Oryzias latipes: one gene and its partners. The protein of the gene in region 1 purifies or fractionates together with the protein of each later gene. This does not show direct contact. Links are inferred from orthologs where the notes say so. Each region holds a gene or a part of one and is shown in the gene's direction. Other genes may lie near its edges.

The links.
Region 2: the proteins of nek2 (region 1) and anapc7 purify together in Homo sapiens (affinity purification with mass spectrometry; 3 studies listed by BioGRID and IntAct, with this or other methods). This does not show direct contact. The link is inferred for Oryzias latipes from reciprocal best matches to the Homo sapiens genes NEK2 and ANAPC7.
Region 3: the proteins of nek2 (region 1) and anapc1 purify together in Homo sapiens (affinity purification with mass spectrometry; 3 studies listed by BioGRID and IntAct, with this or other methods). This does not show direct contact. The link is inferred for Oryzias latipes from reciprocal best matches to the Homo sapiens genes NEK2 and ANAPC1.
Region 4: the proteins of nek2 (region 1) and anapc2 purify together in Homo sapiens (affinity purification with mass spectrometry; 4 studies listed by BioGRID and IntAct, with this or other methods). This does not show direct contact. The link is inferred for Oryzias latipes from reciprocal best matches to the Homo sapiens genes NEK2 and ANAPC2.
Region 5: the proteins of nek2 (region 1) and cdc27 purify together in Homo sapiens (affinity purification with mass spectrometry; 6 studies listed by BioGRID and IntAct, with this or other methods). This does not show direct contact. The link is inferred for Oryzias latipes from reciprocal best matches to the Homo sapiens genes NEK2 and CDC27.

What each region holds. Positions count from the first base shown.
Region 1 is NC_019882.2:6,330,724-6,337,040, forward strand, and holds nek2 (serine/threonine-protein kinase Nek2), read left to right. Parts: upstream 1-2,550; 5' UTR 2,551-2,780; coding exon 2,781-2,876; intron 2,877-3,236; coding exon 3,237-3,454; intron 3,455-3,535; coding exon 3,536-3,776; intron 3,777-3,908; coding exon 3,909-3,991; intron 3,992-4,076; coding exon 4,077-4,203; intron 4,204-4,276; coding exon 4,277-4,511; intron 4,512-5,053; coding exon 5,054-5,108; intron 5,109-5,210; coding exon 5,211-5,278; intron 5,279-5,542; coding exon 5,543-5,748; 3' UTR 5,749-6,038; downstream 6,039-6,317. UniProt on the Homo sapiens protein: Protein kinase which is involved in the control of centrosome separation and bipolar spindle formation in mitotic cells and chromatin condensation in meiotic cells.
Region 2 is NC_019867.2:25,467,751-25,471,897, reverse strand, and holds the start of anapc7 (anaphase-promoting complex subunit 7), read left to right. Parts: upstream 1-1,347; 5' UTR 1,348-1,469; coding exon 1,470-1,570; intron 1,571-3,259; coding exon 3,260-3,446; intron 3,447-4,147. Other genes in the region: ubiquitin-conjugating enzyme E2 G1, read right to left, coding at 608-650. UniProt on the Homo sapiens protein: Component of the anaphase promoting complex/cyclosome (APC/C), a cell cycle-regulated E3 ubiquitin ligase that controls progression through mitosis and the G1 phase of the cell cycle.
Region 3 is NC_019873.2:15,539,639-15,545,191, reverse strand, and holds part of anapc1 (anaphase-promoting complex subunit 1), read left to right. Parts: intron 1-34; coding exon 35-125; intron 126-1,338; coding exon 1,339-1,404; intron 1,405-1,528; coding exon 1,529-1,666; intron 1,667-1,842; coding exon 1,843-1,986; intron 1,987-3,996; coding exon 3,997-4,057; intron 4,058-5,516; coding exon 5,517-5,553. UniProt on the Homo sapiens protein: Component of the anaphase promoting complex/cyclosome (APC/C), a cell cycle-regulated E3 ubiquitin ligase that controls progression through mitosis and the G1 phase of the cell cycle.
Region 4 is NC_019866.2:2,381,496-2,387,699, reverse strand, and holds the start of anapc2 (anaphase-promoting complex subunit 2), read left to right. Parts: upstream 1-2,498; 5' UTR 2,499-2,707; coding exon 2,708-2,806; intron 2,807-3,205; coding exon 3,206-3,455; intron 3,456-3,517; coding exon 3,518-3,839; intron 3,840-3,911; coding exon 3,912-4,044; intron 4,045-4,104; coding exon 4,105-4,285; intron 4,286-4,360; coding exon 4,361-4,480; intron 4,481-4,832; coding exon 4,833-4,950; intron 4,951-5,057; coding exon 5,058-5,236; intron 5,237-5,307; coding exon 5,308-5,449; intron 5,450-5,519; coding exon 5,520-5,595; intron 5,596-5,666; coding exon 5,667-5,870; intron 5,871-6,087; coding exon 6,088-6,204. Other genes in the region: E3 ubiquitin-protein ligase RNF25, read right to left, coding at 836-907, 1,123-1,142. UniProt on the Homo sapiens protein: Together with the RING-H2 protein ANAPC11, constitutes the catalytic component of the anaphase promoting complex/cyclosome (APC/C), a cell cycle-regulated E3 ubiquitin ligase that controls progression through mitosis and the G1 phase of the cell cycle.
Region 5 is NC_019866.2:73,383-79,576, forward strand, and holds the start of cdc27 (cell division cycle protein 27 homolog), read left to right. Parts: upstream 1-2,603; 5' UTR 2,604-3,389; coding exon of another isoform or gene 3,390-3,416; intron 3,417-6,194. Other genes in the region: somatotropin, read left to right, coding at 1-129, 208-324, 1,590-1,733, 1,807-1,953, 2,022-2,084. UniProt on the Homo sapiens protein: Component of the anaphase promoting complex/cyclosome (APC/C), a cell cycle-regulated E3 ubiquitin ligase that controls progression through mitosis and the G1 phase of the cell cycle.

The sequences.
Region 1 (6,317 bases):
AAACTAAATGACCCAAACAAGTGTTCCGCTCTTTATTAGACTTGGAGATTGAAGATCAGCTGATTCTGTCAAGCTGAGCTGGTTTGAGTAAGAAGACCTTGAACCTGAAACTAAAGTTGTTCTGGTTCCAAATATCAACACTCAGAGAAGCAGTAGCCTTTTCCCAGCGGCTTTGAGTATTAAAATGAAGACGTTTTCCAGTTCCGTGGTCCTATAAGGAAGTTCAAACGATCTGAGCACAAAGGTTGCACCACTGTGTTCAGACGGCTGGTCAAACCTTTCACCAAAATGAAGGAAAATATCTACACTTTGTCTTTGCCATGTTCCATGCAAAACATTCTCCTTCTGCATACTCTCATTTCATAGTTCAAACTGTTTTTTAGAGTTTTTGTTACTGTGAGCTCGGATGGAGGGGATCTGCAGGTAAACATTAGGGTTCCTGTTGCAAACAGACCAGGAAGAATCTTAATTCCTCAGCTCTAACTCTCTTACACCTACAGATAAGTTCGAATTGCAAAAAGAGAATGACATTAAATATGCATCAAGGTTTCCAAAATATCAGCAGGCTGTTTGGTGTTCCCTCCTGCTCAATGTCATCCTCCTCGTGCAGAGAAACGAAGCTGCAGAACACGTGGACATTCATGGACGGCGGCGGCAGCATCCTCTGAGACGGCAGGCAGGCACGTTTCCAGCTAGTTAAACCAAATGTGTGTGGAAAATAAATCAACATAAAAGGGAGGAAAAAGAAGTGAAAATAAGAAACTGTTATCAAACTTTGCAAAAAATTAGAGTCATTGTGCAACTATTGTGTAAAGTAAACACAATATTAACACAACCAAGGGATAATTTGGCAAAAGTAGGGAGGAAGTCTGACTGACAACTTCTGCCACTGTCTCCTCTTTCATGACAGCAATGGAGAACCATTCCTTTAGCTGTTTGCAGACGACACTGCTTTATTTCTAAACAACGATGCAGAGGTTGTTAAAGCTCTAAGCAGGATTCAGTTAGTGTATTATTGTCTAAAAACACAATAAGGAGGGAAGAAGTCAACATGGCAAACTTGACATAACGAATAGTTTAAGTCTGAGAGTACGATATGCACCCCCCCAGTGAGTGTGTATTTTGTAGTGTGTTCATCCTCTACTGGAGTTTGCCTTAGGTTTCGTACCTGAGTTGTGATTTTTTTTTCCCTGTATTTTTATACAAAAAATAAATTAGTGGGAAAAAACACAATTTTTGTATGAAATTCAACAAAAATAGAAAAAGTAGCAATAACCATAGAGCTATCTTTTCCTGCTCCTGCTTCTGGACCCAGAAAAAGGAGTCTTAAGTCACAACGACTGTTGCGACACCAATTTGTGCCTCAGGTGAGGGGGTTATTGTCGCTCGGGCTCTGCTCGTTCCCTCTAATGGGGGGCAGTTGACATCACAGTGGCCTGAGCCACCTGTACGTCTTGTCTTCAGCTGCCAGTTTTCCAATGGTGTCTCTCCTTCCTCTCTCTTCCACCTCACAACTGTCCCTGGCTGATGTCCAGCTTTTTGAAACAGTGACCTTTGGCGGAGGGATTTTTGGCAGACCGGTCCAACACTCTCTCAAGAGCAGACAGAGTTGTGGGGATAATCTGACTTGTTATGCTGGCTGCCCCACTGAGAGGCTAGACCACTGTCCCAGACGCTGCATCCATCTCCAGTACGGATCACACGTTCACAAAAACCAGCTGTCGTGGTTAGGATTTGCTCCAGTCACGCTTCAATTTCACGGGCTGGAAATTACCAACATGCTACTTCCCACCTGTCAATCTGTCACAGCACCAGAAAAGGGATGAAAAGGTGCACAATGCTAGAGATGATCCAAAGCCGTTTGAATGTTTTCGCTCTGTGTTTCAGTCTGAAAAATACAATGTGACGCCAGCATTTTTTTCCTTAAACCGTCGTGCCAGAAGGCATCCTGCTGCAGTGAAGCAATGAAGTGAATTCAGAGCCATGGCAGATGTAGGAGCACTGTGAGAGGTCACTGTCTTTCACTGCCCTGCAGGTCAAATCAAGGGACCGATGACTGTAGGATCTGCTTCCCATCCATCTTAGAATGCATGCTTAGAAAATGCTGTTGGATGAGCCAGTGACCTTTAAGTACATTTACAAGCTACCGACAGGGTTAAATTTATTAAATTCAATCGAAGGATTGTTCTCATGTGACTAGTTATTTTAAATGCAAAAGAAAAAAGTGCACTTGGCTTTATTTGAAAAATCAATTTATATGTGGATAATACGAAAAAAGTGTTTTGTAGCAATATTGTTTCCCAAATTGTTCCCCACGTTCCCCAAATAAACGTTTTATTTGTATCTAGTATGTTCAATTATATGTCAACAAATCCGTAAATCTACTGCTTGTTTTTGGTGCCCTCTAGTGGACAGGGAATAAACATGCTTCTTCCCGCTCTAATCTCGCGGGTTTTCAGCTCTTAGCAACGTGAACAAATGCGTCCTTGTTTGACCAATCAGAGACCGTCGTGCCCGTGGGAACGAGCCAATTAGAGGTAAGAATTCTGGCACCGATTTAAACGGAGAAGCAGCACTTCCTGTGTTTTCAACTGATGCCAAAGAACACGAGTGTTTTGAGGAGATCGGCTTTGGACTTCTTTATTATCTGGATGAGCAAAAAACATAATTTAAGTAACTACTTGAATTAGATGTTCAACTTTTCTAAGGCCTATCTTTACATTTGACGCTAACGTGAAGTTTGGAAACTTTTAACGTTGGTTTCGGTTGACGAAGGCAAGATGCCGTCCTGTGTTGATGACTACGAAGTGCTGTACACGATAGGCTCGGGCTCCTATGGAAGATGCCAGAAAATAAAACGAAAGAGTGACGGGAAAGTGAGTATTTATGGCACAAGACACGCATACAGTATTTTCTTAAATAAAGATACATAAATACACGGTGTGAATGTTATCTAATTGATAAGTCATGAAAAAAAAAACAATGACTTGCTTCTCTGTAAATCAATAACGACACAAATGTACTTTAATATTTGGGAAATTACAGTTTTTCTGACATTAATTTCACAAGAAAAAATCTTTAAACATAATTCAGTATCAAGGAAATGTAGCATTTAAATGTTTTTTGTCATTTATCAGTAAAACATAATATTTTTTACTCAAACACTTGAACTTTAAGTTTGAAAAAAGGACTAAGATGAACATGTTCTTGATGGTTAAAGCATCTCTGCTCTCTAGATTCTTGTGTGGAAGGAGCTCGATTATGGCACCATGGCTGAGTGTGAGAAACAGATGCTGGTCTCAGAGGTCAACCTCTTGAGGGAACTCAAGCACCCAAACATTGTGAGGTACTACGACCGCATTATAGACCGCCGTAATACCATGCTGTACATCATCATGGAGTACTGTGAAGGTGGCGATCTGTCTTGTCTCATCAGCAAGTGTATCAAAGAGAGGTAAATAGAGCAAATGGGAAGAAAGAAAAAGCAGTCATCCTCTTTCTATCTGCATCATCATGTGTTGTTTTTAAATGGCAGGAAGTACTTGGAGGAGCAGTTTATCCTGCGAGTCATGGTGCAGCTTTCTCTGGCACTAAAGGAGTGTCACCGGCGGCGCGACGGCAGAGCCACCGTCCTTCATCGGGATCTAAAACCAGCCAACATCTTCCTCGATGCAAACCAGAACGTAAAACTCGGCGACTTCGGTTTAGCTCGGATTCTGAACCACGACACCAGCTTTGCAAAGACATTTGTTGGCACACCATACTACATGTCTCCAGTAAGTTATTTAACATTTTTGGCTTTTTTTAAATTATTTTTTCTCTAAAAAAAATCTCTAAAGGACATTTACAAGGTAAAAAAAATATTGTACTTGTTATTGATTAGTTTTTTACACTTTCTATTCATTCAGGAACAAATAAATAGGATGTCATACAATGAAAAGTCAGATATTTGGTCATTGGGATGTTTGCTGTATGAACTCTGCGCATTATCGTAAGTTTTTTTTTTTAAGCTTTTCCATCCGCTCCCTCGGCTGTTTGATCTAATGAATTCATGTTTGGATTTTTTCCTCTTTGAGGCCTCCATTCACTGCTTACAACCAGAAGGAGTTAGCAGAGAAGATCAGGGAAGGAAAGTTTAGAAGAATTCCTTTCCGTTATTCCGAGGAACTGAACTCTCTTATCAGCAGAATGCTCAACTTGAAGGTCTGAAATAAAGGATTGATTGTTTTCATCCTGCAATAGACGATCTGCTGAGCACCAGTCTGCTTTTTGACAGGATTACCTGAGGCCGTCTGTGGAGTCTATTCTTCAGAGCAGTCTGCTGAGTGTCGTGGTCGAGGATGAGCAGAGAAAGTCAGAAGTTCGACCCCGAAGGAAGTCGGCAGACTCCAGCAGCCCCCCGCAGAGGCTGAGTGAAGCGCCCCACGTCTCAGCGGTGGAGCTCAGGCGGAGGGAACAGGCTCTGCGGGACAGGGAGAAAGCACTGAAGGAGCGCGAGGAGAGGCTGGAGAGTAAGGCTTTAAGTTATTTCTGAGGCTAAATCAAGGGGAGAATATAGTTCTTTGGTTATTCTGAGTGCAGCGGCCTCCATTCAATGAGAAACCAGTCCTTTGGATTTGACTTATCAGAGTCTGAGATACTTTTCTGAAATTGTGAAACAACATTTGAGGCCTTGAACTGTTCCGCTGCCAAATTGCACAAGAACTAGAAAACATTTCTCTGTTCCCACGCATGGGTTCATCCCAAAGAAAGGGGTTTGGGGTGTCTTGCTCTCTTAATAATTATAAGCAGCCCTTTTCGAAGCAATCTTTGATTAATACATTTATTCACAAATGCTTCAATCTGGTAGATTTTATATTTGCTGTACTTGTTTCTGATGTTCCTTATAAAACGCTTGAGGAGTCGGAACGTGATTATCCATCCTCTCAACCAAAGTGTTGCCATCACATCTGTCCACACACAAAAGTTTGAAATGCAAGGTGTTTTTTTCTAAACTTTGTTTTCAACAATAATCTCTCTTTTTGTACAAATAAATTGTGTTTTCTGTTGTCAGGAAGGGAGCAACAGCTGTGTGTTCGTGAACAGCTCACAAACGAAAGGCTTGCAAGGTAGTCTCTCTTTTTGTCTGTTGCATAATGTAACAACTGCTGGTTTTTGAATTATCGTGTAAAATCCTTGAGTCAATTCTTACTTTTTATGTTCTGTTTTAGAGCAGAGAGTTTACTGAGAAATTACAAGCTGCAGCAGCAGAAGGACCTGATCTTTCTCGAAGACATAGGTAGGGGAATCCAACAAAGACCTCTGGACTTACTGAACTTAGATACAGCTGGGCTATGAATTTATGAATGAATGAAATATTTATTGTGTTTATATCAAGTAAATAAAGTATCTTTTTTTTGTAATCTAACAATGAACTTTTATTCAATAAACAAGTTTTAAAGCCATTCTCAGCTCAAACCAAATTCTTGACAAAAGAAATCTGCCTGATTATTAAAAAGCGCTTTCAAGTCGTGTTAATCAGATCCCTGCTGTTTGATTTTAGATGCGGAGATTTTGTCTCCTGGGAAGAAGAAGGTCCACTTTGCTGGTGAAAACATAGAGAATGAGCAGCCAGAGGGTCGCCAGAGTGCAACGTCTCAGGACTTGATGAAATTGAGACTGCAGGCTGCAAAGCTACGCGCCCAAAAACTCAGCGAGATGGAGCAAATGTGCCAATTCAAGAGCAGGCAGATGCTCGGCATACGCTGAGCGCATCCTGATGTTCTTCATGACTGAATTACAACTGGATTTTATGTTTTTATTTAATAATTGTTTGGCATTTTAGTGAAGCTAATTTATCTTGTGTATTTCAAGTTTTGTTGTTGCTCTCTTTGTTGTCCAACTATATTTTAAATGATTTATAGATTGTGTAAATGTCAATGGCAGCTGTTGAAAGTGTTAAAATAGTGTGCACATTATTGCTGTTTTAACAACCCTTTCATTAAAAAAAAAGATTTTATGAACCACTGTTGAAAATTAATAAACAAAAATGTCACAAATGGGTTTTTTATTTATTATGAACAGACGAATTCAAAGAGTAAATAAATGATTTTAAATGTTGCTTTGAAGCAATCAACATAAACGAGTTAAAAGAGAAACAGTAAATCTCATAGTCCAATGACAATTTAACGTCTGCTCTCCACGAGAGGTCATCAGTTTCTAATAAAAACAAATGTGAGTCCATCCAAATGAAGGAGTAAGCCAGGGTAGTTGTAGTGAAGCGTGCCTGACCAAAAAAAAAAAAAAAGGAAATGAGTTGTCGCGGGATTTCAGTTGTG
Region 2 (4,147 bases), on another chromosome or scaffold:
AATGACATCACTGATTATATTGGTGATGACTCTTAAAATTAGTCAATATAAAAGCAGCGCATTTATTTTCCTGTGTGGGCTTCGTTCGATACTTAAAAAATGCCAACGGGTACCGCTATCATCCTACCAGAGAAAGTGATTAGATATTATCTTACATAACTAAATAATGAGTTTCACATTTTCAATTACGTTTACTAAGAAAATATATGTTTGTGTGTTGCCCAACGTATTACGGTATTCATGTGTATCATTGGTAAAGCTAAACTCAAAAGGGCTGTGAGCCCCTGAATTCATTATTCCTTTGTTCTGCCCGCTAAATAACGCCGAAGTTGCTAGCTTGCTAGGACGGTCGGCGTTGCTGGTCTGCGTGGGTTTTAGTTTATCTTTTATTCCAACGTGACGTTGAAATCATAATTTTGCCACACAAATGGGCATCTAACTCAAGTAGATTGCTCACGTCCTGATAATTTCGGTCATTAAAGCGCCTGTTAACCAGAATCTTACAGCGTAAACATAGCTTCACAAAAGCTAGCATTAGCCTATTGCTGCTACATAACTAGCTGTTTTCTCCCTGTAATTTTAATATCAAAGAATGCGATCACATTACCTGCCAATTGTTTTCGAAGAAGTAATGCTGATTGTTCGGTCATGGTACGCGTACGTAACTAAGAAAAAAACTGTCTGTATAGACAAATATCTTCTGGCACACAGAGAGGAGGTCCTGCGATGCTGCTGCTGCTGCCGCCGCTTGGCTCCGTGTTTTGACACAAGATTCAGGTGCTAGCTTAAGTGCGCATGCGTGCTTCAAGCTGACCACGCGTTCGTGTTGTTAAAATATCTTTCTGCCAATGAATTAGACTTACAAAAGGACTGCATTAAAAATACACAGAATACCTCGTTGTTTGAAATGTTTTCAATTTAGAAATTTTATGTTGGGGCTTTTTGGATATTTGAATTCCGTATGTTTGTTGACATCTACATGTTTGAAGAACTCGTTCGGCACACGAACATAATAATACATGGTTGAAAAAAATAAACAATTATAAAGTAAGCCTTTAATTTTCAATTATTCACGCGAAAGTCGATTTTTGAGCTAAATACAAACATACAGTGAAAAGCAGAAGATGCGTTCATAACCATCGGAAATATCAAATTCACATTGAAGACTGTTACAAAGAACAAAAACAAAGTAACAAATGTTTAAATTTACGTTCATCATGATGAATGTGTAAACTAAAACGATTTAAATAAAAATACTAAGATTGTATGAGGGTGAATTGATTGCGCTCTTAACCTGTCATTCGTGAATCGTCTGCTAAAACTAATTTGTACAGACCTACAAATGCAGCAGTGCACGGAAGGAAGGCTGCTGAGCGCCATATTTAATACATCAGAGGCTAGATATTTTTTAGCTAAAAGTTCTAACTTCACACCGAAACCTGTAGAAGAGCCTGCATTTTTTCGGTAAAATGAATGTTATTGATCACGTTCGGGACATGGCTTCGGCCGGCCTTCACTCCAATGTTCGCATTGTGAGCAGTTTGCTGCTGACGATGAGCAATAACAATCCGTAAGTATGGCTTGACTGGGACCCGTCTATTTCCCGAATGAGTCTCTACGCAAGTGTTTTGTGGTTTTCCTCCGTTGTCGCGACAGTTTTATATATATGAAAAAAACATATTGTCGTAGTCTTTACGCTATTGTTTGAATGCGCAGCCTACACAGCTTCTTTCTACATGCTTAGCTTGTGTTATGAGATGCATACAGTTAGCCTTCACTCCATTACATAGCCATGTGGAGACTTTGGCAATAACAGTTTGGTGAAGTGTCATTGAGGGATGTTTGAACTCAAATCCCCCCACTTTGTTCACATGTATTGATGTTTTCTTTATTTACATTAATCAAATGTTTTCATTTTCCGGAGTTGATTAGATGTTACTATTTGTTCTTTCGCCACATTTATATTCAAGAAGATGTACCAGGGGGGTATTCCAGAAAGCAGGTTATGCTAGTTACCACGGCAAGTTTAAGGCTAATGAAGCGGATTATCTCAGTTTTCGGTACCAACAGTGGAGGTCTGTTTCACAGTATGTCAAGTTGCCATAGCAACTCATGCTCTGAACATAACCCGGTCTGGAACAGGTTTAGTTGAAGGTTAGTTTGTTTTCAGAGAGGTGAAGGCAGCATGGTGTGTCCATTTGAAGATGATTTAGTGGATGAAAAAGCTCAGATAATACTTTTTCCACCATAGAGGGTGATAAGACCACATATGGATGTTGGAAAGATAACATTTGTTACATTGATCTAACTTAATTATTTGCTTTAGTTGAGATAAATCTTTTTTGTTTTTTGTTAAGTCAGTTACGTGTCATGTTGCAAATCTGTTTTGATTCATGCATTTTATTGTTGTAAAAATGAGCATATCTGCAGGCTCAAACTTAAACACATGAGAGTTCAAGAAGTACAATAAATTAAGATGAAAAAACATTTAATTGAATTGGAGTGATATGACATTTAGTTAGATAAATATGTAAATTTGAGTTAAAAAAAATATTGAGTTGGATAGACGTAAAAAATATATTTAACTCAATTTCTTGTTACCAATTGAATTAATTCATTTAAGTTGGATAAGTTTTATAAATATATATATATATATATATATATATATATATATATATATATATATATATATATATATATATATATATATATACACATCACAATGGAAATGAGATAGAAACTCTTGTGTTTACTTTGTCCGTTCTTTTTCTCCAAGCAGAAACTCTCTTTTGCTGATGCAGCCGTGTTACTTTTTTAATCTTCATACGCCGTCATTCAAATCTCCGACTCCGTCTCACTGACGTATAGCGCTCTCTTTTTTTCACCACGCGTTTCCATGGTGACTCCGTAGATCGGCAATCCATTGAAAATGTCTTTATGTACTTGCTGTGCACGTGCATTAACCCAGGGTTACCAAGTGGAGCGTAATTACGCTAACTCATATCCGGTTTTTTGGAACCGACATACCCAGAGTAAGCAAGTTCAGGCGGATTTCAGCCAGAGTTCAGGCTTAAAGTCAGGGTAGTTTAAACATGCTTCTGGAATACCCCCCAGAACTCCCCGTAATCAAAATGTAATTTTTTATACAGCTGCTGTTTTCGTAACGTTGCACACTTTAAATGCGAAGCTAGTGCCATAAAATAGAGGTATTGTGCTTTGTAGTTATTTTTAAATGAAACTTGTTCGTTTTTGTCTCCAGTGAACTATTCTCACCGGCTCAGAAGTACCAACTGCTGGTTTACCACGCCGATGCGATTTTTCACGATAAGGAATATCGCAATGCGGCCTGCAAGTACAGCATGGCGCTGCAGCAGAAGAAGGTGCTCAGCAAAACATCCAAGGTTCGCACATCAGCTGGTGGAGCAGCCTCCAACATGCAGACACAGGTGAGGGCTTTATGCTTCAACACATTTAGGAAAAAAAAATATGGATGGATGGATGGATAGATGGATAGATGGATAGATGGATAGATAGATAGATAGATAGATAGATAGATAGATAGATAGATCTCAGAAGTTAATGGTTGCATCCCTACAATATATGCAAGAAAATAATAACACTGAAGACCATGAAAGTGTCTGCTGGCCTGCTGCTTTTGATCTATGACCAATACTGATCCTAGAGTGGGGAAACTACCTTTTAATCACTTGCATAGACACATTTTTGGCAGCAGACGTCTTTATCTCAAGTGACTCTTGAAGGGCACCTCTTGGTTTGTTTTTCCTCATCTTCAGGTAATATTCAAAACAGTTTTTACATTTTTTTGTGGCATTTTCTTCTTGATGGAGGACATATGTAAAGAAAAATTAACCTTAAAAAAGCATTTCTGAGTACTTCTTTATTCAAATCTTGGTGAATCAGGAGCAGATTTAAAGAATGCCGTTTGAAAAAGATTGTATTTGTTACGGCCACAAGCTCCGTGCTCCGCTCCAATCTGATACATCCACTTGCAGACAAATAGATCCGTGTACTTCTTTGTTTTCCCCCTCCAAGCTGGCATCTGAATCAAAACTATTAAGATGGTTGGATAGTTCCAATATTGCTAGCTATTTTTGTTGCACTAATATGTTTAGGTTGGGGCTGAAAG
Region 3 (5,553 bases), on another chromosome or scaffold:
TCAGGTATCTTTCATTTATCATTTTTTTCCACAGATGCGTAAAATTTATTGAAAGCAACGATTCGTCTCAACTCATCTTCCCCTTCGTCACAGCAATTCCTGCCAAGGATGCAGAACCTTTGGAGGTATGAATTCATATTTTTTTAAAATTTGAATTAAATATGATCAGTGTTTGCACCTTCTTTTTAATGTATTTTTCAACATGTGTTATACCTGCTTTGTTACTGACTAAGGTGAGGGTATTAACATTCATGCTACGGTACTTTAAAAGTGAATAAGATCACCTTTGTTTCCTGATCTGATGCTTGGTTTGTACTTCAACAATTCTTCCTAATACAGCACGAGCCCGTGCCATGTGGCCTGTAGAAAACATCAATAAAAACAGTTCTACTTTGGTTTTGATGGAATGAGGTGAAAGGGTTTAAGTAATTTATCCTCAATTTTTGATTAGAATTTGTAACTGTTGAAATTCAAAAGTTGAATTGGTTTTGACTAAACCAGGAGTCTAAAACCTTTAACACTAATAAAGGAGCAATTTAGGCCACTTTCTCACTAAAACCCAACCAGAACCAAAATCCTGCTTCACCATTAAAAATTTTTTAAATTCTTTTGTAGCCAATTTATTTATAAAATAAAGCTTCTAAATATAAACAATAGTTACATTTTAACAATGTTAGACTTTTTTATATATAAGACTTTAAAATTGTTTTACTTTTGAAAGTAGCGCGTACAGGTTCCTTTCAAAATAAAATACACCCAGTGTCAAATAAGATCCTCCTGCTGCTGCAGATTTACTTGAATTAAAAATGCGAAAAAGCGAGTCCAACATGGTATTTTCTTATTTTTATGACATTGGTGTGCTGCCATTCTTTTATCTTTGTTTACTATAGAAAACAACAATGACAGTTAGAATTCTTAAAAAACATCTATACATATAAATACAATTACAGTATGTATTTTAAGAACTTTTCCTCTGAATATTAACTAGATACTGTTGTGCAGCAGAAAATAAGATTGTGCGCTGTTTGTCTATTCTAATTATAAATCAATTCAATAGTAGATTAAACCTTTTAACCAGTTATCTATCTGACATGTTAAAAATCTAAGCACAAAAGGCAAAACTTAATTAACCAAAAACAAATTAACCAAAACTGCAGACCCATTATTTGCATTTTTCTTTAAAGCCAAAGAGCCACAATAAGTGGATAAAAGAGCTGCATGTGGCTCTGCATGTATATGTTTTAGACCCCTGAGCTGAACAATCTGCATTAAAGTGTTGATAACTAAGTTAGATTGTTTGACTTTCTTTGAGAACTGCATGTTCTTTTTCATCCTCAGAGTATAAATGCCATGTTGGTTCTGGAGGCCTGTGGTAGCTTGGTTCTTTACACAGGAATCACCAGGGTAAGTGTTGCTACATGATAGCAGTTTAATACAAAGATGCTCACATATGAACCGTTCCTTTAAATCATTGAGACGGGATCTCTGTGTTGTGGTCTTAAGTTTGGTTTGGTTTTGTGCCCCCTAGGTCAGTAAAGTGTTCGTCCCTGGCCTTCTGTCACCTTCTTTCAGTTTAAGTAGCCAGACCCCCCATCTGAGCACACCTCTGGAAAATGTTAGCACACCTGCTAATTCCAGCCACAGACACATTCAGAGACTTGAAGAGGTACCAGCTTATGCTGCAATTTTACTGTTTGGTTTTGCCAATATGCTTTTGGATTTTTTTCTTTTAAGTTACGAATTAAAGTATGGAAGTTTGATTAATCTTTTCCTTTATGTATATGTTATTTTCTCTGAAGTCACTAAATATTATTAAAATGGTATGATGTCTGTTTTTCTTAGGACAACATGCCTTCACCCCTATCAGATGGTAGAGGTCCAAACATCAAACACCATGAGGCTTCATTTTTAGAAGATTACATCTTTCAGAAAGCTACACCTAACATTCAAACTTTGCGGGATCCTGTCTTCAACAGAGTGACTCTGGTAGATCTGTTTTTGTTGTTTGGATTAGTATAAAATCATTTATTTTTTATTTTCTTTAAAAAATCTTCCCTCCCAGAGAGTTTAATTAATTACGGTAGTTCTCCTATTTTCTAAAAATTGCCAAATAATATCATTAAGATCTTAGAAACCAAGCTATGCATTACTTTTACTTTTGAAATAATTCTATTAATTTTCAGACAAACTTTTGTTTGTATGGAAAGAACTCCTAATTACTAGTTACTTAAACTAACCGTGCTTTGGTCTGTTTGTAAAACTAGTTATAAGATCTGCTTTACTTAACTATCGGTTTTGAAATTAAATTTGAATTGATTCAGTATTTAGTCAGACTTCCTCAGGCGAAAACAAGACAATGCAAGGCTGTATTTTTAATTGTTTTATTAAATGTTGTTATTTTAATTTCTCATTTCATTTCAGATGTAGCAATTTAATTAAGGAAGAAGTAAAAGTAATGTAGAAGAGAACAAGAGACATAAAGAAATCAAAACAATTATTTTTTCAAATACATTTCTATATCTAGTTTCTTTTTTTCTTTATTTTTATTTTTATCTTGATGTGCCATGGGGAGTTGCATAGTTGTCTATCTATTAAAAACTTAAGTCTATTACTTTTCATAGCTTTGTTTATATTTCTTAAAAGGATATAATTTATTTCCAAATTTAGTATTTGTTGCACTCATCCTATTCAGTTAATTGTTATGTTCTGGAATAGAAATGTTTAACTGAGGTTGATCCTTTTTTTCTTCATAAACATGTACATATAAAAAGTATTTTAGTAGTAGTGAAAATTAGACTATACCAAAGGAGGGGAATTTCCCATATTTTTTATTTTACAACCTACATAAAACAGTAGTTTTTCAACGTTTCCTCTCTCGTCAGCACCATGTGTCACGTGCACATTCATGTGAAATTCTGACCAATTTGTGAATGAGAACCAGGAAACAAATCAGTGTTTGTGGCCTCTGGGTTCGTTGAGTCATTATTCATTCCTTAAAGCCCCAGGACCGTAGAAAATGACGCTGACACTTCTTGCTCGCACACAAATTGCCATAAAATCTTCAGTGAAAAACTGTCAAACAGTCTTCAGGCTTTTGCTCTTTTGACTCTGTTATTTGCCATCTCTTTGAGGCATTGACACATCAATCTGATGACTAATTGTTGCCAGTGCAACTCAGTTGGGATTTTCAGAGCATGGAATTTTTGCAGATGGATTCATTCGTTTTGCTTGGTTTAAATTGCCGGAAACATAAAATGTTGACACTTTAGGATCCAAAGTGTCCTTTCTGTAATGTTAGGACGAATTAATTTGGTTCTTTATTTTATAAACATCCACATTTCTCATTAAATAACCCAACTCTCTGCTAACTTTTAGCATTGCTCTATTATTCACTGAAATATGTATTTTAAAGTAGTATCACACCAGAAATTTATAAATTCAGTAAAATATCCCCTTTGGGTTGTTAACAGTTTACCGTAGTTAGAACAGTTATTACTTTGTGATAAGAAATTATCATTAAGCTTCTTAAAGCAAAGAAATGAACAGCTATAAAATCAGTGAAACTACAGCTGGGGTTACCAAATGGGTGGCCAAATGAACTTTATGTGCAATATTTTTCCATAATTATGTCTTAAATAAAATCTTATTTCAATTGTTGTTTCTGTTACCTTGTTAAAGATTTATTTTACACATAAATGTTTTTTATAAAAGCCTTGACTACTGTTTTCATGCTGTGGTATTCCATCTGCCATCCAATCGGATAGTTTCTTACACAAGACATTTCATTTTTCATGTCACAATTGGAAAAGGACAATTGTTTAAAATCAAATTGAGGAAGGAATAATTCAATTTAGCTGCTTTGGTTACGGGCTGCACTTTTAAAAAAGCAGAATGCTGTGACATGCTGCTTGTAGAAACTAAATTATCCTGTCATGACATTGTTATAAATCTGAAATATTCTTGGCAAACTCATCTGCGTTTGTGTGATGTTTCAAGGAACTGAGCAGTGGTTCGATGCTGAGGATCTCCATCCCTGAGATTGCCACGTCTGATTTGGGTAAGCGAACACCCACGCTGGGAACACAGATGTATTTTAGACTTACTGGTTTTTGTTGGTTGGGAATGGTATCTGTTGTTAAAATGTTTAGTTTTTCCATGTGACCACACACTTACATGACTGAGTCACAGCACTCAGGTCATTGAAATTAGGTTTGAGAGCCGCTCTGTGTTTTCAAAATGACGTATAACCCTGTTATATTGAGGATACCCTTAAAAGCCTCTAACACACAAACACAGATGTGCATGCACCAAACCATTATTAATGATTAATGCACAATCCAAGTGTCCATATCTCTGATAATTTTCAATTAACAAAGGACTGTCACATCTTTTACTGTTAATTATTAATCATTATTACAAAAAAAGAACGTTTTTGCTGTTGTATAGTTTTTGGGTTTGATGAAATGACTTATATTTTTGGTAATGATCACATGTTGTTGTTTTTATAGAATAGGTACATCCTTTATATTTTGAAATGTTCACCCGTATCTGAATCACTGTTACTCTCTTTGGGTGATAGTTTATCAATGGATTATCTTTATTAAACACTGTGATGTGTGCACATCTATGTGTGTGCACTCTAGGCAATTTAAAGAAAAATAATTGAAAAAGCATATACACAAAGATGGTAAAATCACAATTAAATAAATGAAAAGATACTTTCTATGGTTTGTACATGCTCATTTAAAATCTTTCTTGGTCACTTTGAGTTGTTGTCTCTGCCATCCTTACATTCTTCTTAGACTTGCCAAGCACTGTGCCTCATTATTTAGTAATCGATCGTGCGGATGAACCTTCCTCCCTTTAATTAAATGGCATTTATCCACCTATCCCTTGACCTTTCCTGCTTTGGGCGTCTAATTAAGATAGCCGGGTAATGTGGACTACAGAACTGATTGGTCAGAGATGTAAGGGGACATAGGTTGTCTAATTATTCTTGTGGAGATAATTTTTCAATTTCCTTTTTTTGTTTTATCTCAAAGTTAGGTTTAGATTTTTTGGCACAACTGAATGGATGTCATCAAAAACTGTGTATTCTAAAATCTCTCTGTGTATATAAATTCTATGTATATTTATTTATATATTCTAAATATTTGTTATTTATTATGGTATTTTCAATTTCTGGACATATAAATCCCAACTTTGAATGAATATAAATTAGGTACCATTAACACAAAATCTGCAATGGCTAAGCTTTAAAATAAGATGTGAATGACCATTTTTGAAATGAGGTGGCAGAAAGTCACACCCTATCTGGATGGATATTTGGTTTTTTGGCTTATAACTTCTATATTAACACTAACTTAAAATTCAAATCCCTAAAGTAAACAAACTGCATTTTTAGGAAAGAAAACTGAGTATTGCTGAAACAAACATAAAGAATCCTATAAACCTAAAGTATTTGAATCTGTCTGATTTTCTGCCAATTTTTTTTTTTTGCTCTGAATGTCTTTCAGTGAGGAACTGCCTTCAGGTGATTCGCTTTATTCTTCC
Region 4 (6,204 bases), on another chromosome or scaffold:
ACGAAAAGCGGTTACACAAACTCACAGCCGCCTCAAACCCACGTCGTCGTCTGAGGAGCTCAACGGTCATGAGCAGCCAGCAAACCCCCATCCGACCCCCACCAGCTCCAGCCCACGCTCACACGCCCCCACAGGAGTTTTCTCCTATTCTGTCCAAACAGGAAGCAGTCAGATCCAAAAGATCCCCGCAGATTTCTCATCTCTGACGGCGAAGGTCACAGTCCAGAGCGGCGGTGAGGAGCTGCACCGCGCCCCCTCCCCAACACTTTCTGACAGCAGCAGCTCCAGAGATGGGAGGAAGTCAGAGACCCTCTGGGTCACAAACCCGATGGTTCTGCCCTCCATCCCCTCTCCTCTCCTCTCCTCTCCGTTTGAACCGAACTGTGCTTCTCCTCTCAGCACTTTAGCATCACAGCTGACTGCAGGTGCTGTTGCCATGGAGACCACCAGCATCCTATCCCCATCTGAGCCCTGACACAAAAACTCTGAAGCAGCTCCCCTGGAGTCAGTGAGGAGCAGCATCACCTCTCTGCAGGAGGTCCACCAGAACTCCTCTGTTCAACTGCAGAAAGGAGGCGTAACTGGTTAGAATCCAGCTAACGGAACCGACAGATCCACAGCAGGACTCCATTTTGGTGGAATCTCCCTGTTTTTTTATGGATTGTAGAGACAGACTTCACGATTTTACCCGGAAATGAAACATAAAAACCTGCTTTGTGGTTTTTTGTCAAAGCGTTTCGCATCTCAGAGACTTTTCTGTGCCGAGAAATCTTCATATTATAACAGATTAAAGGAAAAAGAACCGAGAAAGAAGCACGCAGATCCGGTTCCTCACCCGTCCTGCTTCCGGTCCACCTGCAGGTCCTCCAGGTAAATGGACTGCAGCACCTCGATCTCCGACTGAACACTGCGGACACAGAACAGCTGATTGGAGACAGTGTTTACTGTTTCATAAGCAGCTGTTCGTTAGCTTTCCTTTAGCTAACTGTCCCGTTTCTGACAAACGGGACAAACGTGACTCAGATTAAAGAGCGGATTATGTGAGGCGACATTAAATAATCTCTGTTTGATTTTTTTTAAAGTCGTTTAAAGACAAATCACAGGAACTGTTGAGACACTCACTCGCTCTCCACGGCCATCATGTTTCTGCTGCCGACTAGCGGAAGTTACGTCATTTATCTGACTTTCAGAACAAAAGCACGCTTTTATTTTTATATTTTTTATTTTTTCACAGTGAGAAAAATGGTAAAAAACAATTTGATATACAACGATTATGTTGTTTGTGTGACATCACATTAATGCTGATATTTTAAAACAAGTGAGACTTAGATTTTTATGCTCCGGGGGTTAACTACAGCCTCCTCTTTCAGGTTAAGTTAAAATAGAAGTATAGATTTTTTTCAACATTTACATTTAAAATATGAAATCCTAATGTCATATTGGAAATAGCTCAGTACAACGTTTAAGGAAGTAAATGCTGTTTGTCGGCAGATAATTTTTGTTTTTTCTTTAAACGAACAAAACAGTTTTGATGTTGGTGCAACAGCAAGGATATGTTAATTAAAGCAAACACAGTTAATAATAAGACAGATTATGTTTAACCACTAATCCGTCTGTCTATAGGGAAAACTTAGATAAGATGTTTGCAAACTTAATTAGAATTTTTTTTTAAACAGGGTAATTGGTTCCTGCTAAACCAAATTACCGGTAAAAAAATTACAGTTTATTTAGAAATTAATTGTTTATTTTAACATTTAAACTTATATTTTATTCAGTAAAGAAAATGCAGAGACATTTTCAAAAACGTGAAAATAAATAGTTTCCGTGAAAATACATAGTGGATGTAACTTGTCTTGCAGTTCACCAGTTTGTCCACAAGAGGGCGATAAGGATTTTGACTGTGATCACATTTTGTGTGTTTTTCCATTATAAATCATTGTTCTGTTGTATCTGTTTGCCCACTGAGGCAGATATCATGTCATAACCCATCCTCACACGTAAAAACATTTTTGATCGGGTAAAATTTGATTTTTTTAAGTTTTTCAACAAGATAATCATTTTTTCTGAGTTATTAATTTAATTGTATTTATTTCGTAAATACTTTAGTAAATGTTACAATTTTGATAAGATAAGATAAATATGCTTTTTTATTACAACCTGAGACATTTAATTTTGAATAAATTAATTTGATCGATGTTGATTATTTTACATAAAGATTAACTTAATTTGGTAAATAATTTTTCTCCAGCTCTTAGTTGCTGTTACAAACATTACGTGTTGCAGTTTTCCACTCTGTCCACACGAGGGCAGTAGTTGTTCACAAAAATGCAAAATGCAAAACAGACTTCTTTTAAATACTTTTGACTACTTTTTTTTACAACTTTTAAATTTTTTGCACGTACATCATGCAAACAACTAAAACAACGAAGAAAAAACAGAACGATGCGCATTAACAACTGTAGGTGGCAGCACTGCCATCTTTCAGCGCTAAATACAGTAGAAGAAGTCAAAGAAGATCTGAACCCGCCATTCAGTAGGAGGGGTCACGTGGTTTTGTTTTGTTAATAAATAGTATCTTTTTCTTTGTATATTACTGTGTTTTTGGAGAAATAATGTGTATTTGTACCTTCAACTAAACCTCTTAAAACCGGCACGCGCCTGTTTGGACTTCCGCCCGGTTTGTTAATTGAGGAGAAAAACCCATAAAATGGAGGAAATGATGGAAGACTCGGAGTCTGTGGAAATGTCTGGACCCGAACCGGTCCAGGGTGTCGCGGCTGCATGGGATTCGGTCTCTGCGGCTCTGGTGAGTGGACCCGAACCCCGAACCTCAGTGTCGGAGTCCAACCATGAGTGAGACGTCAGTTTATCGAGGTTATTCACGTCTCCAAATCTGGTGGTAGTTCACTTTGATGAATCTCACACATTTAAAACAATCTGTGGATCATTATCAGACTCATTAGACTGCATCTATATGCGTGATATTTTCATTTGTATATCAGTCACAGATGAAGCTTTGAAGGCGTTTTTAAATCTGCTCCTCCTTTCAAACACACCTGAGTTTAGAAAAAACTGGTTCAAAGTTCTTCATTGCTGTGTTTGAACTAAAAGTAAAAGCCAATCCGAGCCCAGGATCTGCTCTGGCATCAGCACGTACAGCAGCTTCTGGACGGATGCTGAGGCTCTGCGTTGGGTTCTCTTGCAGGTGTCTCCTGGCTTCTCGGTGTCGGATCAGAACCTCGTGGACGGCCTGGCTCTGCTCTGCCGTCGGGGTCTGGCTCCTCTTCTCGGGGTGTGGCTGCTGGAGACCTTGCAGATGCGTTTGTCGTCCTCCGTGGTTCCAGAGTTCTGGTGTGGACTGAAGCAGCCGGAGAACGAGCTGGAGGAGAGGGGCCGGGCCTGGGTTCTCCTCACCGCCTTCAGGACTCTGCTGGACCGCCTGGAACCCTTCCTGAGTAAGACCCAGACACCGGGGGGTCCACTGCTGTCGGACATTTCTGACACGTCTGCTCCTTAGGTGGTTTGGAGAAGCTGGGGGCGTGGCAGCAGGAGGGCCGCTGTGGTCTGAGCGGGCCGGGACCCAAAGGGCTCAAGGAGCAGGCCTTCACGACCATCAGAGCGCTCCTGCTCTTCTCGCCATCTCCTGTCCTGCAGGAGCGTGTGCTGGAGTTCTACAGCCGGACCTTCTCTGTTTACATGAAGCAGGAGGGGAACGCCGAGGATGGGGCAGAGGCTCCGGATGGTTCTGAGGGAGGGGCCTGTCCGGGCTGTGGGGTCCCGCTTCACCAGTGCTGGTGTCTGGAGGCCCTGGAGCAGCTGCAGCAGCTCAGCCACATCCTGTGAGAACCAGAGCGAAGCTCCTTGCAGCTCCTGTGGTCTGTCAGAGTCTGACCTGCTGTTTGTGGCTGCAGGTCCAAACTGCAGCTGCTGGACTGGGTCAGCTCAGAGGCCGTCACCTCCATCCTCCACAAGCTCATCGAGCAGCGGATGGAGCAGCACTGCCGCGGCGAGTACGAGCGCTCCTTCCTGCTGAACTTCCAGGAGGTGAGGCATCCGTTGTAGCAGCTCCCTGGTCGGCTCCGTCTGAACCTTTCCGCCTTGCAGTGGTTGGAGCTGGTGCTCGGCTGGCTGGGGAAAGTCTTTGCCTGTGAGGGGTCGGGAGACGGTCCGGCACCAGCATCTTTGGCCAGTCCGGTCATGAAGCAGTGGAGGTGCCACATGCACCAGTTCTTCTGCAGGATCTACGTCAACATGAGGATCGAGGAGCTCTTCAGCATCATCAGAGGTGACTCTCACCAACCCGACGGAGTTTTTTTTTTGTTTGTTTTTGTCTAACATCTTTGCTCCATATCTCGTGCAGATTTCCCAGAATCCAAAGCTGCGATTGAGGATCTCAAGTTTTGCCTGGAGAGAACTAACCAGCGACAGCAGCTCCTCACTTCCCTGAAATCTGCCTTCGAAAGCCGTTTGCTGCACCCGGGTAAGTAACCGAGTGGTTTGGTAACCGAGTGGTTTGGTAACCGAGTGGTTTGGTAACCGAGCAGCAGGTCTGTATGTAGCTAAGCAGGGAGTAGATGTCAGCGGCGGGCCGGTACCACAGAAGCCGGTCGTTATCAGCAGGTCGTCGGTACCCAAGATGCCGGTTTCTACCTGAGCGGCGGCTTAGCAGCAGTGAGGGGAAATAAAACCTGTAGCTCAGTGGGTGTAAAGTTCTGTCACGACTCTCCAGAACCTGTGGAGGACCGACTGTCCTGTTGGATCCTCCAAAGGTTTCCTGATTCTGTTGAATGCTTTTCTCTTAAAAATAATCCTCATCCTCAACTTGTGTGCAGGAGTTCACACCTCTGACATCCTCACCGTTTACATCTCAGCCATCAAAGCCCTCAGAGAGCTGGACCCGTCCATGGTCATCCTGCAGGTTGCCTGTCAGCCAATCAGAAAGTACCTCAGGTGAGTTTGCGTGTCTGCGGTCTGACAGGCGGTTTCAGGAAACCCGCTTCAGTTAGAAATGTGTTCATTGAACCGTCTAAACCGCAGCGCTGCCTCTTGCTGTTCAGGACTCGGGAGGACACGGTGCGGCAGATCGTGGCGGGTCTGACCGGAGATGCGGAGGGCTGCACCGACCTGGCCTCCGAGCTGTCCCGCGGAGACCCGGTGACGCTGGAGATGCAGGACAGCGACGACGAAGGCACCGACCCGGAGGACTGGACCCCGGACCCGACGGACGCCGTGCCCGGTCGGTGATGGCGTGGTGCGACGGTAGTCGCTCCGCTGCGGCCCTTCGGCTCACCTCTGACCCTTCTGCAGATAAGCTGGGCTCCAAGCGGCGCTCCTCAGACATCATCAGCCTGCTGGTCAGCATCTACGGCAGCAAGGACATCTTCATCGACGAGTACAGAGGCGTCCTGGCCGACCGCCTGCTGCAGCAGCTCAACTACAACACCGCCAGGTCTGATCACCTCCGTCATCCGTTCATTTTCTTCTTCACATTCGTCATTTTGGACTCTGCTCTGTTCCAGGGAGATCCGGAACGTGGAGCTGCTGAAGCTTCGCTTCGGAGAGTCTCACATGCACTACTGCGAGGTCATGCTGAAGGTAACCCCCACACTCGGCAGCTGGACTCTCCTCCGCCAGGAGCTGCAGTTTGATGCGGCGCTCCTCTGCAGGACATGGCGGACTCCCGCAGGATCAACGGCAACATCCGGGAGGAGGAGTCGCGGCTGAGCGAAGACGAGCAGCCGCCGCTGCCTCTGTCCGCCATCATCCTGTCCTCTGAGTTCTGGCCGACGCTGAAGGAGGAGAAGCTGGAGCTGCCCCCCGTCGTGTGCCGGGCCATGGAGGCCTACACCCACAGATACGAGAAACTGAAGGTGGAGTCCAGCTGTTTGTTTTTTCTGGAGGATTCTACAGACAGACAGCTGTGGATCCTCTTTATGAACTAATATTTAATCTGATTGTTCTCAAAGTTCATTTTCTGCTCGTCTTGAAGCCACAGCTTTGATGCGACCGCAGCGTTTAAAGTTCAAACCCAGTTTGTCTGTCCTGAACGGGGTTCTGTTTGGATCCTCATTTCCTCCTGCTCTTCAGGCCATGAGGACCCTGAGCTGGAAGCCTCACCTGGGATCCGTCATTCTGGACGTGGAGCTGGAGGACCGAATCCTGACCAACCTCACCGTGTCGCCCATCCAGGCCGCCATCATCCTT
Region 5 (6,194 bases), on another chromosome or scaffold:
CTTCTGCTGTCAGCTGTCTGTCTGAGTGTCTGCTCTCAGCCAATCACAGACAGCCAACGTCTGTTTTCCATTGCAGTAAGCAGGGTTCAGCACCTCCACCTGCTCGCCCAGAGACTTTTCTCTGACTTTGTAAGTCTGCAGAAGCTGCATGGGGACTGAGGAGTCCTTCAGCTTTTCCTGATATTTCTGTGTACTTGTGTATTTTAGGAGAGTTCTCTGCAGACTGAGGAACAACGTCAACTCAGCAAAATCTTCTTGCAGGATCACTGCAACTCTGATATCAACATCAGCCCATTAGACAAGCACGGCACACAAAACAGTCCGGTCAGTTCTGAAACTTGTGTACAGAAATTGTTGCACTACGATAGTAAGGTGATAAAGAATCATGTGGGAAAGTTTGGTGACTGTAGTTTTAGGATGTTCAGAACAGTTTTGTTCTGAAGTATAAAAGCAAAGACTTTCTTCCAAAATCATTGTTGTAACTTGAATGTGATTATGAGTTTTCATGACTAAATCATATCAATGTAATTGTTATTTTAGTTTCATTTTTTTTTAGAGATTACACTCCTCAGTGTCTCACTTCCGTCTCTGTCAGCAGCAGGAGATCTCATCCCAATCCCATTACAAGGACACAAAAATCTGATCTTTTTTCTGTTGAAACGACTTTGTAGGTCGTTGTTCGCGTTAAGACAAAAAGCAAGAGACACTTGTTGTCAGTTTTAATTGTTTATCAAGAGTTTTTGAGGCCCGAAATCAGAGTCTGTGAATATCTTGCTAACATTAAGCAGCTGTTTTTGTTAGCCATTGGCCTCCTGCTTAAACTGCTGCCTTATTCCGCTACGATGGCAGTAAAAAGTCGTAATCTGTTCATGAGATGCAGACTTTTACTCTGACATTTATTTGAAATAACAAGCTTGAAATACACAACATTGATCAAAATAACAAAAGAAATAAACTTCCAATCCTGATAGGGAGACAGCATCCAATTTCAATTGAGTCTAAAATCACTTGATCGGGCCGTGAGGGACATCCATAACCTTTACCAAGTGATGGTACCAATTCACTACCGTGTACCAACCTTTGCTATCCTTGAACCTTGACTATCATGCAATACTATCTGCAAAGCTTTGGCGTTTATTTCCTGTCAAATCCTAAAGGTTGTTAAGTGAAAATCAGGACTTTGTCCATCATCTCTGATCAGCTGTGTATTTCTATCATTTCCTGTCATGTGTGTGTTGCCAACTCACTTGGCTTTGTCAAATTCTTTAGATTAGTGTTTCTTAGAGGTTACATGTTTTGTTTTGTTGTTTGACAAAAGGTAACATTTGTTTATGAACCCCTAACTCTTGCTTTTTGTCATTGCTGGCATTCTTCCCCAGGGACTGCAGCTGACATTGAGCTCTGTTGGTTCATTTGTTAAAAAGTTTATTAATGTTGACTGTTCTTGTTTAACTGAATAAATAAAAAGAGGCGATGCAGAAGCATGGCAAAGTACCCATTTCGGACAGAACATCCCAGTAAAGAAGTAACAGTTAAAACTGATGAGAAGAACACAGCTACTCCTCATTGATACCAGTGTTTGGTTCCAGGTTCAGAAGCTGCTGTCAATTTGCTATGTTCTGGTGGAATCCTGGGAGTTACCCAGTCGCTCTTTGTCTGGGAGTTCTGCTCCAAGGAACCAAATCTCACCCAAACTGGCTGAACTCAAGACAGGAATTCTTCTTCTGATCAGGGTGAGTACATGCACAAACCTGCCACACATGACTTTTGGCTTTGACGTCAATTGTGCTACTACTTGAACTGTAGGCCAATCAGAATGTGGCTGAGATATATGAAGACACCCTGTCTCTTCCACTGGGGGAGTACATAGACTATTATCATGGACTTGGAGCCGATGGCTCACTGCGGCGGACCTACGAACTGCTAGCTTGTTTCAAGAAGGATATGCATAAGGTGAGAAGGAGGATAGCAAGTGTGATATGATAATGACAATGATGACAAAGAAATGTCTGTTTTTGCAGGTGGAGACCTACCTGACTGTGGCTAAATGTCGACTGTCTCCAGAGACAAACTGTATCCTGTAGTCATGCTGCCCCCCACCATGACAATAGACTCCGCTTTTAAATAATTATGTTAGCATTAGCAGGAATAGGAGGTGTCATAATAAAGTTTGTGTTGCATTCTCAGTGTCTCTTTTTCTGAAAACAACAGGAAGCTTAAAGAAACCATGGAATAAAAATCTGAGTTTCTCGTGTTCTCCATACTCCCACCTGTCTTATTCTACATGACAGGGTGGGCAAAGGGGACCTCATCGTAGGAGCAGCTTCACCAGCTTTCAGCTGCAATGAAGCTGCAGCATTTAAGTTTGGCTTTTATTTTAACATTCATGTGCTTCATAAATGCTCTGATTTGCAGCAAAGAAGCTGTTTAGGAGCGGGACAGAAAACTTTTTACTATCTGTCACAAGTCTTCACTTATCTCTCTGAGACCCGTCAATGTCATTTTTACCCTTTCAACCAACAAAACCCATGGGCTTCAGTTCTTTATGAACGAAAAAGGTTTTGTAAAAAAATGTATATTTGCTAATAGAAAAAAAGAATTAAGAAAAAAATTACAAAAAATGTTCCACCAGGGTGTCCATCTTCTGCCTATAGAACTTTTCAGTGTACAGGAGATTGAGGTTCATTTACAAACAGCTGCTTGCTGAAAGCATGCTTTACAAGATATGAAAGCAATATTTCTCTTTCATTAACATTTTCCGCTTGGACCTACACTAAACAATTTGATCTGAAAGTGAAAAGTTAAGTTTCACAGAAAAAATAATGCAGCTAATCCAAAACTCAAAAAAGGAATATTTGAAACAGTAAATTTTAGTTTTGAATTAAAGAATTAAAAAAAAACAACACCAAATTTATACATTTAAAAAAGTTATGCAAACTTTAAGGTGATTATTAAAAAAGTGTAAAAGAATATTTTTGTAAAAGATAAAAAAATTGAATGTTATTTCGTGACATATTTTAGTATTTAACATTAACGTGTTTTAACTTTTGTTTTGTCGAATGAAAAATCTTTCCTTCAAACAAACAAACACGGTGCAGATTTTGCTCCATAACAGCTGATGACATTTTCCGCTACTGACTTAAAAAAGTGATACCAAGACTTGCCAGCAGTAGGCGTCAAACAGCTATTCTACCTGCTATTGCTGTTGCCGCTAGAGGGCAGTGTGTTCTAGGCCTATGGCTCGGCGTTTTCCGGCAAAACTCGGAAGGTAACGGTCGGACGTTCAAATGTTCGGCCGCATCGGCTCCTCGCAGAGATAGAGCTGAAGAAAGCCGTGAAGAAAGCAGGAGAGAGGTCCCTGGAGCAGAGATACAGAGTCCTAAAGCGGGATGACAGTGCTGCAGGAACCTGTCCAGGTAAGAAAACGCCGTTAGGTCGTTGTCACGAACCGGAATACGAACATTAGCCGTCACCGGCCTCAGCATCTGGCTCGCTCAGGCTCAGCCCGAGCTAAAACAGCATTCTTCCGCCGTCGTAGGCCTCGAAGTTCGCCCGGAGCCTTTTCTCCGCGCCTTCCCGGCATCTGCTCGGGGCTGAGCGGTGTGCTTCTTTTCGGTCTGCGGGCCAAGCTTCGTAGAGGGCCGGTTTATCCGCTCCATGGCGCGTAACTTGGTCAGGACGCCGGTCCCCCGGCTGTCGTTGACACGTAAACGGGCTGGAACGTTTTCTCTCCTGGTAGCTTCCGCAGCAAAGAATCGAGCGGAGAAGACAAAGATTTGTCCCCGCTGTGAGACCGTCACTGGGTCAAGTTTAGTTCAGGTTTGGATAGACTAGAGGTGGTCCTCAGGATTTTGGAACACTTGTCTGGAACGTTAGATCTGCTAGCTAACCGGCTAGCGCCTTAACAACCCGCTTTCGACGGCAGGAATAAGGTTCTGTAGCTTCAGACTGAACCGAACCGTTCTCCAGGTTCGCTGTGGGGTTCCCGCAACAGTTCTGCCTCACGGCACCCGCAACATATCACGCTTAGCGGGGCATGGTTAGCGTCGGCTAACCAGCTAGCTCTAAACTAGCTTTTTAGCTAGCTGTTGGTAAACGGAAATACTGCATGTAACCAGCGCCGACTGACGTCACAGCTCAGGTGTGCCGGTCCCTGATCAGGCAGGAGGGTATGGTAATGTTAGAGCTTTAAAAAAGTATTTGCCTTTAAACGTAGATCAAAGTTCTGATCTAATATTCAATAAATATCTAATATTTAAAAATGATGACGCAACCTGTGCCAAAGCAGAACATCAGCAACTTGTGCCAAAGCAGAACCACAGTAACCTGTGCCAAAGCAGAACGACCGTAACCTGTGCCAAAGCAGAACGACCGTAACCTGTGCCAAAGCAGAACGACCGTAACCTGTGGCAAAGCAGAACGACCGTAACCTGTGCCAAAGCAGAACGACCGTAACCTGTGCCAAAGCAGAACGACAGTAACCTGTGCCAAAGCAGAACGACAGCATCCTGTGCCAAAGCAGAACGACCGTATCCTGTGCCAAAGCAGAACGACCGTATCCTGTGCCAAAGCAGAACGACAGCAACCTGTGCCAAAGCAGAACGACCGTATCCTGTGCCAAAGCAGAACGACAGTAACCTGTGCCAAAGCAGAATGACAGCATCCTGTGCCAAAGCAGAACGACCGTATCCTGTGCCAAAGCAGAACGACAGCAACCTGTGCCAAAGCAGAACGACAGTAACCTGTGCCAAAGCAGAACGACAGTAACCTGTGCCAAAGCAGAACGACAGTAACCTGTGCCAAAGCAGAACGACAGCATCCTGTGCCAAAGCAGAACGACCGTATCCTGTGCCAAAGCAGAACGACCGTATCCTGTGCCAAAGCAGAACGACAGTAACCTGTGCCAAAGCAGAATGACAGCATCCTGTGCCAAAGCAGAACGACCGTATCCTGTGCCAAAGCAGAACGACAGCAACCTGTGCCAAAGCAGAACGACAGTAACCTGTGCCAAAGCAGAACGACAGTAACCTGTGCCAAAGCAGAACGACAGTAACCTGTGCCAAAGCAGAACGACAGCATCCTGTGCCAAAGCAGAACGACCGTATCCTGTGCCAAAGCAGAACGACAGCAACCTGTGCCAAAGCAGAACGACCGTATCCTGTGCCAAAGCAGAACGACAGTAACCTGTGCCAAAGCAGAATGACAGCAACCTGTGCCAAAGCAGAACGACAGTAACCTGTGCCAAAGCAGAACGACAGTAACCTGTGCCAAAGCAGAACGACCGTATCCTGTGCCAAAGCAGAACGACAGTAACCTGTGCCAAAGCAGAATGACAGCAACCTGTGCCAAAGCAGAACGACAGCAACCTGTGCCGACTGTTTTTTTCTTAGCTGCACTCAGATTTAGAACCCAGTCGCGTTGATTCTCAGTTTAAAGTTTAACCCGTTCTCTTTATTTTTTTATGCACCGCTACTTAAAGGAGAAACCATAAAAGCATTTTTACTTTTTGTTACTAGTTGCAGTAGAACTGGTCTCAAATCTACTATTATCATTCACTGATTCTGAAACACTTCAATTTAGTTTAATTGTGTCTGTTGGCCACTTCACCTTAATCCTGTTCCTTAAATGTTGTTATTGCTTCTTCTTAAATTTAACATCTAAAATAATCCAGACGTTATTAGAAAAGTGTTTCAATTAGAAAGATGACTTGGACCAAACTCTGGGATGTTTGGCTGTTAAGAAACACAAACCTTGAAGGAGAACTAAACTGTTGACCTTTGATTTCATCAAGAAGATTTAAAAACTGTTGAATGTGTGTTCGTTGTGATTTCAAGACGTTTAACAGGGAAGACTCATTGTAGCGCAAAGTAGGGCTGGGAATCACAGGGTACCTCAAGATACGATACGATTTGCGATACATTGCTCACGATAACGATACTATCACGATATGGCGAAAATCTCGTCTCTAATTACGCTCGATATATAAACTTTAAGAAAAAGAATTTGAAAGGGTTATTTTGGAAAATATTTCCCCATTTATTTTTTAAAAACCATGATAATAAACAACGTGTCGTGTGTCCTATTTGGTGTAATGAATAACAGACTTTTGTGTAGCATTGCTGAAATCAGTAACACTCTGTCTTTGACAACCAATGATAATTTTCTTTTGGAAATATTTGTACAATTTGGTTTAA